Caenorhabditis elegans: one gene and its partner. The protein of the gene in region 1 interacts with the protein of each later gene in a pairwise test. Each region holds a gene or a part of one and is shown in the gene's direction. Other genes may lie near its edges.

The links.
Region 2: the proteins of cul-4 (region 1) and cdt-2 interact in a two-hybrid assay, tested with the Caenorhabditis elegans proteins (one study listed by BioGRID).

What each region holds. Positions count from the first base shown.
Region 1 is NC_003280.10:7,299,901-7,306,310, forward strand, and holds cul-4 (Cullin-4), read left to right. Parts: upstream 1-2,200; 5' UTR 2,201-2,210; coding exon 2,211-2,312; intron 2,313-2,358; coding exon 2,359-2,466; intron 2,467-2,512; coding exon 2,513-2,591; intron 2,592-2,632; coding exon 2,633-2,680; intron 2,681-2,725; coding exon 2,726-2,829; intron 2,830-2,876; coding exon 2,877-3,068; intron 3,069-3,114; coding exon 3,115-3,447; intron 3,448-3,501; coding exon 3,502-3,862; intron 3,863-3,946; coding exon 3,947-4,057; intron 4,058-4,103; coding exon 4,104-4,322; intron 4,323-4,368; coding exon 4,369-4,877; intron 4,878-4,922; coding exon 4,923-5,170; intron 5,171-5,521; coding exon 5,522-5,630; 3' UTR 5,631-5,858; downstream 5,859-6,410. Other genes in the region: C30G12.1 (uncharacterized protein), read left to right, coding at 1-92, 299-435, 481-635, 692-943, 1,056-1,318, 1,363-1,590; brf-1 (B-related factor 1), read left to right, coding at 5,971-6,133, 6,179-6,410. UniProt on the Caenorhabditis elegans protein: Component of cullin-based E3 ubiquitin-protein ligase complexes which mediate the ubiquitination and subsequent proteasomal degradation of target proteins.
Region 2 is NC_003283.11:14,987,047-14,993,018, reverse strand, and holds cdt-2 (WD_REPEATS_REGION domain-containing protein), read left to right. Parts: upstream 1-1,892; 5' UTR 1,893-2,025; intron 2,026-2,099; 5' UTR 2,100-2,106; coding exon 2,107-2,223; intron 2,224-2,275; coding exon 2,276-2,420; intron 2,421-2,471; coding exon 2,472-2,666; intron 2,667-2,719; coding exon 2,720-3,178; intron 3,179-3,662; coding exon 3,663-4,269; intron 4,270-4,695; coding exon 4,696-4,998; intron 4,999-5,049; coding exon 5,050-5,272; 3' UTR 5,273-5,472; downstream 5,473-5,972. Other genes in the region: T01C3.3 (RING-type domain-containing protein), read left to right, coding at 347-881, 977-1,134; T01C3.2 (Transcription and mRNA export factor ENY2), read right to left, coding at 1,446-1,583, 1,627-1,701, 1,748-1,831; F02D8.4 (Peptidase M14 domain-containing protein), read right to left, coding at 5,563-5,764, 5,818-5,905, 5,952-5,972.

The sequences.
Region 1 (6,410 bases):
ATTCTTTCGAAGCCTCGTTTCCTACAATTCCAAAATTCTGTGGAGGGTATGATGATTCTATTGAAGTGGTGTTGGATTCTTGTATTGTTCGAGTAAGTTTTTTTTTCCAATTGTGTATAGTTAGAACCATCTGGTTTTAATGTAAATCTTCAATATTACGGTATCAGGGGTCGACACGATCGGAAATTGATAGGTCAAAGACGCTTCGAGACCAATTACCGTATTCTTTTGTCAGAATCTATGAAATAGTCACTTCACTTTTTAATTACTACAATTAACAAATACGGTTTTTTTCTAGAATAATCACGTCTACGTTGGAGATCATCTTATCCGACCATTAACAAACTTTGAGAAACAGAAAATACAGTTAGTTAAAATGAGACGAATGTATGGAGAATCAAAAAGGAAACGTAGCAAAAGAAGCTCGAAACCATTGTAAGTTCATCCAATATTCTGCATTTTCAAATAATCTTGTTTCAGGCCTGGCACACGACCACAAAGAGATTTTAGTGAAATGCTTCACAAACTTTTGAATATTAACTCTACAGTAACTTCTCGATTCCTTCCAGTAGTTAGTCAAAGTCCTCTCTTTGCAATGGAAGGTCCGTGGCAGAATTTGTTTGAACTCGGGAAAGGTGATTTCCTTTCTTCGAGATATTTGTTATGAAAATTAAACATTTCATTATTCCAGATAAGGATATGATTGAATTATTAGCTGCTTCACAATTTAAACCCCAATTACCACCCGTTGCATCAGTTCCAGTAGCTCCAGTCATTGATATTACGAAGATTGATTCTCCGTATAGAGCCACTTTTACAACAATGAAACCAAGAAAATCACAGAAACCAGAAAAAAAGAAAGAAGTTTTCAATGTTTTCACTACTAAAACTAATCCTCAAATTACCACGACTACTATGACAACCACAACAAGAACATCCACAGGTAACATCTACAAGACAACTATTTGAAAAATTCAGTATATACAACATTTTCAAAATTGCAATTTATAATTAATAAATTAAGTTAACATCCGATTAAAGCTGTCAATTTTCAGCCATTCCAACAACTACCACAACTCCAAGACAAATATCACTTCAAACGATTCCATTTTCAACCACAACTAGACAACCAAATTTTGATAAAACCAAGACTCCTGCAACAATGCCATCAGCTTCTTCTTCTTCACTTTCAAGTATTCAAACAGTTGTTGATCCAATTATCTTGAAGTTAATTTCAAAGGCATTGGAAAAAAATGAAATGATTGATGAATATTCATTGAAACAGGCTCTATCGATGAGAAATGTTGCAACTACTACTGTAGGTTTAAATCTTTAATACATCTGAATTATCAATTATTTCAGACTCCTCTTCCACTTCGTTTCATTCTTCCAACACCTGCAGCCCCAAATCCATTTCTACCGTCTACAAGAGTTGGAGGTCTTTCTCATAATCATCTATTCATTCCCCATCAACCGTTTACTACTCTTGTTTCGACCGATTCTAGATATTCTGCACCGAACCCTCTTTCTCATCGACTTCCAAACGAGATTTGCCGAGTTCATATGAATTCAAATCCTTTCCATTTTTAGTTTTATTACTCTACCAAATAATTAAACAGACTTTTCCTATCGGGTCCCCTAATTTTCTTTCATTTTTCAGGCATCTCGGTTGTTTTTTTCAAAGTATTTTGACCTAATTTTCCATGTTGAAATTAATAAAATATTTATTAAATGAACACAAACACAGATGTTGGAATTGTCTTCTTCTGGTCAAGTACTGGATATACTCTCTTTTTTTGATAATGCTGAATTGATAAATTTTTGGTTCCAATGAAAGGATCAAACATTGTAGAAAATCTTTACAAAAATAATTGTAGACCTACTATTATAATAAATACAGTTTTATGCAGAGTCTGCGTCTCTCAATATGAACAGCCTCTCAAGCACTAGAGATGCGCCAGCACGCCGCGCGTCAGCAAACGTCTTTGGCCTCAGTTTGCCTTCAAAATAATGCATGAGTTCGGCATTTCAAATATTATTTAAGCCAAATTGTTTTTCTAAACTGCGGAAATCTAATTTTGAGAAAAGGAAATTTTAAATCCAATCGTTTTATTTTAATCTTAAAATATCTTTCTATATAAAACCGCCAACCGTCCTGTTTGTTTCTTCAGAGATACTAATAATCTAACATTTTCAACAGAACAAATTGGATGACATCTGGAGCACCACCGACTATTTCAACAGAAAAAAGTCGAAGTAAACAGCTTCGAAAATCGTCAAAGCGCACAGCCAGCACCGTTGAAGGTACAGAGGTAGTAATTAAATAATATTTTCAATGTGAGAAAAAATAAATTGCAGGCTAAGCAAATGCGCGGCGACACTGAAAATCGTTCCGACGGAGAAATGGACGATGTTTCAACAAGCAGCGAAATCAGACATGGAAATGGATTTATTGAGAATTTCAGAGTGAGTTATTAATTTATTAAAATGTTCATCGGTGGGAAGTTTTCAGAGTCAAACCGGCAATTCTTCACGCACAACCGCAACAAATGAACGCATCAAAAAGAAACTTGTGATAAAGAACTTTAAAGGTAATATTTGTAAAGTTTTCATTAGTTATTTTGATTTCCAGCGAACGCGAATCAAAATGATGTTGCGATGGGGGACACCAATATTGATAGTAAGTTTATTCTTCGATAGGTGTTATATTTTGTTTGATATCCAGGTACAGACGGATCAGTTGGTAGAGATTGGGCTGTTCTTTCGGATAATGTTTTCGCTATTCTTGAAGATAGGAAAACAGTAACCACTTTGGAAGGCTTATTCAGCGTAAGTTTTTGATTGTTTAAAACATTGTAAAAACTGAGCGTTTTCAGAAGGTCAGATCTGTGTGCGATAAAAATCAATCAAAAGTACTTTACGATCGTCTCGTTGCAATTGTTGTTCAGTTTGCAAAATCATTAAAGGAGTCGTTAAATGCGGTTGAGCAAGTTCCTCTTGCAGAAGACAATTGTGAGCAATATTTGGAAAAGTTTGGGCAGATCTGGCAAGCATATCCAGTTAAAATCGTAAGTGAAGAGTTTTATTTAAAAAAAAACAATAGATTTAACTCAGAATCTCATCAGGAATATTTTTCTTCATCTGGACCGAATTGCGCTCGGCGCTACAGACACAGAAATTCTCCCTTTGTGGGAATGTTTCATGCAAATATTTCAAAAAACATTCTTCCCGAACATTTTCAAGGAATTCAAAGCAACAAAACTGTTCAATGCTCTCTATATGGCGATGCAGAAAATTATGCAGAGGTATCCAGTGGACAGTCCTCTCAGAAGTCTTGTAGATATGCTTCAAACAGTTCATGTGTCTGAAGAATTTGCAAAATTCCTTATTAGCCAACTTCGAGAGCACTATAACAATGAGAGAATCGATAAAGTTCCAAAAATGAATGTAGGTTTTTATTTTCATTCTTTGAAAAATCTCGATTACTTATATTTATTTTAGTGCAACGATTACATGGAATACTGTGAAGACCAGATAAATCGATATTCGCAATTAGTGAAAGTGAACTTTGATGAACCGTCGGCTCTAAAAGATGTTCAGGCAACAGTGACAAACTGTCTCATTCAACAAGCAATTCCTGAAATTCTCACACATGATTTTGACGATCTTATCGATTCTGATAACATTTCGGATATCGGCCGAATGTTTAATTTGTGCCGTCAATGCGTTGGTGGAGAGGATGAAGTACGTACACAATTCTCAAAGTATTTGAAAAAACGCGGAGAGAAATTGATTGCTACGTGTCCTGATGAAGATCTTGTTTCTGAGCTACTTGCTTTCAAGAAGAAAGTTGATTTTATCAGTAAGTATTTCAAAGTTCTCTGTTATTTTTATTATTATCAAAAATTTTAAATTCCTCATACGTGGATCATTAATCATATTTCAGTGACTGGAAGCTTCAAATCCGCAAATGATCCAGTAAAAATGAGACAATGTTTGTCAGATGCCTTTGAATCTTTTGTAAATAAACAAGTCGATCGATCTGCAGAACTTATTTGTAAGTCATAATTCGAAATTTCTATATTATAATTTCTATTTTTCAGCAAAGCACTTCCACACACTTCTTCACAGTAGCAATAAAAATGTATCAGACGACACAACTCTCGATCAAATGGTAGATGAAGCTATTGTGTTGTTCCGATATCTTCGTGGAAAAGACGTTTTTGAAGCATATTATAAAAGAGGTCTTGCTAAGCGGCTTTTCCTTGAAAGAAGTGCATCTGTTGATGCTGAAAAGATGGTTTTATGCAAGTTAAAGACAGGTATTTAATACTTTTTAGTTTTCAAATTAATAACTTTTTGATTTAGAGTGTGGCTCGGCGTTCACATACAAATTGGAAGGAATGTTCAAAGATATGGATGCATCTGAAAATTATGGAAGATTATTCAACCAATATCTAGAACATATGAACAAAGAAAAAGCGAATTTCACTGCTCGAGTCATAACTCCAGAATATTGGCCAACCTATGACACATATGAAATTAATATTCCAAAAGAGATGAGAGATACACTTACCGATTATCAAGATTTTTACCGTGTTCAACATGGAAATCGGAATGTTAAATGGCATCACGGACTGGCTTCTGCGGTTATTTCTGCTTCATTCAGGCCTGGATGTAAGAAAGAATTAATTGCAACAATGTATCAAACTGTCATTCTTCTTCTTTTCAACAAATGTGAGACATGGACTGTCGCTGAAATTGTTGAGCACACTAAGATTCTGGAAATTGAAGTCGTCAAAAATGTGCTTGCACTTCTTGGTGGACGTGATAAGCCTAAGGTTTTGCAGAGAGTCGAAGGAGGTGGATCCGAAAAGGTAACTAACTTTTCATTCAACTCAACTAAAAATGTCTTTGTTTAGAAGGAAGGTACTGTGGAAAATTTGAAAAACGAGAAATTTGTTGTAAATTCTAAATTCACGGAGAAGCGCTGCCGAGTTAGGATTGCTCAGGTCAATATAAAGACAGCTGTGGAAGAGACGAAGGAAGTGAAAGAAGAAGTGAATTCTGATCGACAATACAAAATTGACGCTGCTGTTGTAAGAATTATGAAGGCTCGAAAGCAGCTAAACCATCAAACTCTAATGACGGAGTTATTGCAACAATTGAGGTAAGTTTTCAGAAAAAAAACTTTATTTTTAAATTCAAAAAATTCAATCAATTTTTTATTCGAGAAATAGTAATATCAATATAAGCCGAAAAATAAAAACTGGTTTTGAAATTTTTTATGAAAATATTGAATGTAAAATATAAATTGGCACACAACTACAAACCAAAATCAAAGGAAATGTAAAAATTGAGAACTTTTTCAATACTCTCAAAAACATAGCATTTAGTAAATTAATATGAATTTTGACATTTTGAAGCGATTTCCTTGATAAAAATTTGTCTAAATTTTGCTAAATTTGCTGCTAAGGTAAAATAAATGTTAATTATTCTAAATGAGTTTTTTTTGTTTCAGATTCCCCGTGAGCACCGCCGATATCAAGAAACGCCTGGAATCACTCATCGAACGTGAATATATATCGAGGGATCCTGAAGAGGCATCTAGCTATAATTATGTTGCGTAATACATAATATCATTTTTATTCCTTTTTCAAATTCAATCCTTATCCGTGCCACTGGTCTCTTCTCATCTCGTTTGCCCTGTTATTGAACAGTTTTCTTCCTTTATTTGTGCGAGTTTCGTCTTTTTTAGAGAAAAATGTACTAAATGTTAGTTTCTGTTTTTTCAATTATGTTTTTCTCTTCACCTAACATGTGCATCCAAAATACTGTTGAATACATGGTTATTTGATTGAATTCTTTATACGAAATTACTCGAATCGGTTGAAATATCCGTGATCTTACATTTTTTTGGTTTTTTTTTTCTTAATCAATTTTCAAAGTTTCTCGTTAAGCAGACACAAAATGGTTCGAACCTGCTCGAACTGCGGAAGTTCTGAAATTGATGAGGATGCTGCTAGAGGAGATGCTACGTGCACTGCGTGCGGAACTGTGCTCGAAGAATCCATTGTCGTAACTGAAAATCAATTTCAAGAGCGAGCTGGTGGATCAGGTCACACTCTAGTCGGTATGTGGTAGGAATGTTAAAAGTATTTACAAAATGTTATTTCAGGTCAATTTGTGTCCTCAGAGCGAGCTGCAGCTAACAATTTCAATGGAATGGGATCTCAAGAATCTCGAGAAATGACGTATGCAAAAGGCCGGAAAGTTATTGATGAGCTCGGCAGTCAGTTACGAATAAATTCACATTGTATGAACACTGCATTCAATTTTTACAAAATGTGCGTATCTCGTAACCTGACACGTGGACGTAATAGATCATCCGTTGTTGCTGTTTGCATGTA
Region 2 (5,972 bases), on another chromosome or scaffold:
GATTTAAATACAGTTTTACATCAAAAAGAACACAAATCAATGAAAAAACAAGGACTACGAGAAAAAAAAACAAAAAGTGTGTTTTGATCTTGATCTTGACCCATTGCGGCTGGCGGCAAAACTTGGATTTTCATTTTTATGCGTTCCAGTTTCTTGAGCGTTTCTGAGTGTTTTCGGCGCATTTCTGGTTTTTTTGGAGTTTACAGCCTTTTTCAGAAATTGTTTCACTCGATTTTTCTATTTTTTCTGTGCATATATGCACAGAAAAAATATATGGTTTCCATTTTCCGAGTATCTTCAAATCTGCGTTTTGATTTTTTACTTTTCATTCTAATTTTCAGGTAAGATGTCGTCTAGTGGCTCTCCACCTTCCACGCTTGTATCGACTTTCGAGGAAGCAATTGCGAAGTTGACCTCACTTTTTGGCATGATGCGCATGATGGAAGCAGAAATTAAGGATCAGCGGAACAATCTTCAAGCATTGAAAAATTCCCAGCGCCTGTCTGTCAGAGGAAGCATTCAGTCAAATATGTCGAGCAGGACGGATGGAATTCTTCAACGAAGACTAGATGAGACGGAGAGAAAGTTGGCCAAAACTTCAGCCGAACTCAAGGCCAAAGATGAGAAGTTGAAGAAGGAGACGGCAAGTCTTGAAGCCAGTCGTGAGGCTCATCGATTATTGCAAGAAGAATCGAACAAGTCGAAGGTGTCTGTGATGCGCCTTACGTTCAAGCTCAATCGCATCACACATGAATCTGTGAAAGAGCAGGCTGTTCTGAAGAAGAAGCTTCTGGACTGCGAGACCCGACTCGCTACATATTCCGAGTGCCTCGTCTGCTACCAGAAGTTTGACGAGAACACAAGAATTCCACGTGTCATGGGTGAGTAAATAAACGGATTTAAATGCTTGCTTGATTATAGATTATTAAGCTGAACTCTTATCAATTTCAGTCCAATAATTCTATCAAATTTTCAGACTGTGGACATACTCTGTGCGACTTCTGCATCAATCAGATTGTCAAGATGGCGGGTTGCTACAGCGCAACATGCCCTTTTGACCGTGTGCGCATTTTTGGATTTGGGAAGAGTCGTCGTCTCGAGGATCGCCCTTGCAATCGATTCATCATGAAATAACTGCTCCCATTTCTACATTGAAGACTCACTTATTGTATTGTGAATACTCTTATGTACATTGTTTTATCGAGAATTTGTAAATAGTATTATACTTGCACCTCTAACCTTTTTTTGCACCTTTAACCTATTTTATTTAGATTTCGTTTACAAAAAAGAAACAATAAACATTTCATGTCATGTTTTTCCTCAAATTCTCCGTTCTGTTATTGGAATTTACACCGATGAGAATCATGTTGCGTTCAATTTTTTATTGAAGAAATTTTACAAAATATAATGAGATCACAGTTGATTTCTTTCCTCGTAAAAGCGAATCATTTCTTGTTAGTAGTTGTGACGAATTCGAGAACTTGATCGTAGAGCTTCTTCTTTGCTTCTTGTGGAATTTCCCTTCTCGCCATATCCTTGACAGCATCGAAAACCTCCTTGGCACTCACGTCATCTCTGGCTTTCTGAAAAATGAGAATTAAGCGATTATGTTTGAACGAAACTGACCTCCAAGAACTTCTTCACTTCTTTCCTCACAGCGATCTCCCATTCACTATTTTGCAGACTGCTGAGTAATGTACTCTAAATTTATTGGAATTATGCCACCGAATTTTACGAATTTACTCACTTTTACAAGCGCCGACTCTCCACTGTCTTGAAATTCCATTTCGATCTGCTCTGGCTTCTTACGCATGATCAGGTCGTCGTTCATTTTTCTTTTTTTTTAGTTTTCTGAAAATTAACATAATTAATAAAATAAAACAATGCTTTACAGCAGATTTTAAAGAGAAAAACGAAGACATACACAAAGAAAGAATATGTAAAAGGTGTGTCGATTTACGATAAACAACACGCGGGCGCAATAGTGGAGTGTCGTAAGATCCGCGAAAAATGTGAATTCGAAAGGTTTCTTTTTTCTACCATTTTATAGTATTTTCTACCATTTTATCATTTTCTCAACTAAATTTCACTTTTTTCAGATAAAATATGGATTTTCTCCATTCAACAAAAGCTAGAAAAAGATATCTTCGATATCCATCATCAATATATGAAGAATTAGAATCAAAACATTATTCTATGCCGGCCGGAGAAACCGATGATCACGTAAGATTTTGCTGAGGAATACGCTGATAATTTCATAAAAATAGTATTTCAGGACACTTGGGTAACAGCCAGGTTTTCGCCTCACTTGAATCAAGAGCACATTTTGTACATGGGAGATGATCCGGGAAATATAGGAATTTTCGATGTTCGCAAGTTTCAAGATCGATCAGTGCCTTTGGAAGAACGGCAACTTTATTGTGATCTGAGCATACCTTGATTGAGGAATTTAAAAATCAAAAAGATTTCAGTTTTTCCCGCTCACGATGGTGCAATTATGGACGTTGTAGGTGTTCCCCAAAAGGAATCGCAAATTGTTTCAATATCTGGAGATTCTACTATTCGATGTTGGGATTTAAATCAATCTACGTTGGATCGAAAGTCCCAAGTGTTTTTTGGACACGAAGGATCTGTACGGTCGATCTGTTTCGCTCCGGATGATCCTAGTAAGTGTTTTTGATATTTTAAAAAATTTTTCGTGATAAAAATTTAATTCCAGACGTTTTTGTGACCGGTGGACGTGATTTCCAAGTCAAAATCTGGGATATGCGAGTATCCACAGTGAAGAAGATGGAAGAAGATTGTCGAATGGCAACTATCACATACAAGACTGCACATCCAAAACCATCAAAAGTATTAACATCAGGAACTCCTAAATCAAAAGCAAAAGCGAAAACGATAGAAGGTTATAAAGTGACAAGTGTTCTTTTTCTTGATGAGCATCACGTGGCAAGTGCTTCAGAAAATGCAGATAGTGGAATACGAGTCTGGGATATTCGAAAACCGACAAGAAACGGAGAAGGCCAGCCAGCCAGAATTCTAAAAGTTCCCACATCCAACAAAAAATCGTATGGGGTGACTTGTCTGACATTAGATCGTTTTGGTAATCGACTGTTTGCGTCATGCACCGATTCTTCAATTTTCGAGTACTCCGTTCCATCGGAGTCTGTTTCACCGAGTAAGGTTTATCGAATTTGGGTAGAAATCTCAGAAGAGAAAATCAGATTTATTTTTTAGCCGCGGCAAATCTACAAATTTTTTCATTAAAATTTAGTGATAGAGTATAAAAAATCATTTGATTCATATGAAAGTAGCTTATTTTTTAGCTGGGACAATTGAAAAAGTGCTCAAAAATCGCCGTTTGCCGAATTTTCCGGTAATTTTCAAGACAAGTTTTGAGCACTTTTCAATTTTTTTCGACTAAAATTATAGCTAATATCAGAAAATTCAAATTTTTTTTGCCATATTTTAGCACTAAATTTAATGAAAAATACTAGAAGAACATGCCATACTAGCCAATTTTGTAGAATTTCTGGTATCTCATCAATTGAGAAAGTCACAAACAAATAAAAGCATTACTTTGTGGCATTCCATGTCTTGTGCTTCAACCACGTTGCCGACACATGTTCTCGATCAATACACAAAAAACCTTGAACTTTCAGTTAATTCCTACACTGGCGCCACCATTCACAACTTTTATACCCAAGTCGCCTGCTCTCCGGTTTCTGATGTGATCGCATGTGGAAGTGAGGATAGTCGGGCTGTTGTTTGGGATCTTCAGGATCAATACAACTACATGAATGATCGAAAACTTCCGGATGATATTGACAAGCGGAGAACGAAACTTCCGCGATTTTCCTGCGATGGTCATCTTAAGCAAGTGTTGAACGTCGGATGGAGTTCTCGTGGAACATATTTCATGTCTTGTGATGAAGGAGGCGTCCGAATCTGGTCAGAGCCTAGGAATAGATGTACATGGAAGTTGAATGACGAAGATGATACCTCTTACCCGACTACTTCCCAGGAGCTCGGACTTTCATACGAAAAAATCAAGAAATTTGAGCTAAAAGAATCTGATGAAGCTATGTCGTGTTTCGATAGTATTTCCTTATCACCCAGACAGCGAGCTGATTCTTCCGGACTAAGTGGATCACCACAGAAGAATCGAGGATCGAAAAGACCTATATTTGAAAGCCCGTTAAAATCAATTTGCACAAATAGTCCAAAACCTCTCAGATTGAATAGATCTCCGAGAGCCAAGATGAGCAAGTAAGGAATATTTATCAGAAAAATGCAATCGACGTGGAAGCGTGCTCCACGGCCAATTGAAAACGCTCCGCCCCTACAAGCTGGGTCTCGTTAGGTGTTTGGCGGCATAACTGTAATTCCAAACGTTTTCAGTTCGTTTCGCCAATTTTCAACCATTTTCGTCTTAAAAAAACTACAATTTTCGTTGTTTAAGGTTTTTTCATTTTACTATATCTTTTCAATTTCGGCAAAAAATTATTAAACGCTTGCAACGAAAAATATTTTAAAAATCAAAAAAAAAACCTTGAGATCGGCGGATTTTGCCGTCAATTCCCAACGAGACCCAACATTTTGGGGCGGAGCGTTTTCAGTTCGCCGTGGAGCGCTCTTGCACCTTTTCGATTTTAAGTATACACTTTTCGTAAGCATCTAAAAAAATTATTTCAGATTATCTTTCTCCCCACCATCACCACTTCAACCAACTAATTCAAATAACCAGGATCTTGTCGGCTACCGTACTCCCCGACAAATCCGTAACAAAAAGAAGAAGAATAATCCATTTTACAACGAGCATCCAACTGAGGGTCTGCCAAACTTTGTCTACGATACATTCGTCAAAAAACTCATAGGAGAATCTTCAAAATCTGATATTGAAGATTCCGGAAAATCGTTGAGCAAGACTGGACAGAAGAGAATCGAAGACTGGTGGCAAACCAAGGGAGAAAATGTGGCAACAGTGACAAGGGCGAGGTGAAAAAATTATTAAAATTTGTCATAAATATTCAATATTATAAGTTTCAGACTCCCAAGTGTCAGTGAATTCGGTGAATCAGCATGCTCAAAAGTTATAACCGAAGACGAACGGATCGCTCTTCACTCTCCGCGTAAACTTGTTCTCAAATCATCTTCAACCCAATCTCCGTGCCCATCAAATTCAAAGCCTAAGCCCATCCCAATGACTCCACGAAAACCGATGGATAAACGACCGACAAGTCGTAATCTGTTACACTACTTCAAAAAGTAGAAATTGTGTGTAGAATTAATTGTTTTATCTCTTTCCCAACCCATGTTGCTATGTCATAAGTATTTTCACTCCCCTTCCCCATTTTCATCAGTTCTAAACTGTAAATACGTTCCTTTTTTTTCGTTTTTATCCCCGAAGCCTAATCATCGTCGGTAAAATAGTGAAAATCTGTAAAAGTAAATTAAAATTTTTATTTTTAACCCTTTGTTAGAAACAATTAAAACAAAACAACTGAAAATGTCATTTTTAAAAACCCGTTCCTCTCTTCTTCCTGCTACTCCGTTTGACTTCTACCTCCCACGACCAAATCCACGATTTCCGATTGTCCGTAAGCGATTCAGTAATAGTGTCGATTGAGCAGATGATGCAGTTGATGACGTCATTTGTTTGAATCCGAACTTGGACTTGACCTCGATCATGAGAACTTGAATAGCCTGGAATGCTTCTCGGCACACTTGATTGATCCGATCTTCTGGGAGGGAGAATCCAGTGCTGGAAATTGAAAAGTGGGTGAAAATAAAAAGAAAATAGTCCGGATAACTTACAAATCATCAATTGGAGAGAGCTCGATGGTGTAGGAGTACTTGATTCCACGAGACTTTGCCCAATCATCTGATGCTCCAGCGGCAGGATCTGAAATATAAAGTTTACCAGAATAATCGTATCGTCGGGAACTTACAAAGGCCATCTCCAGAGTTTA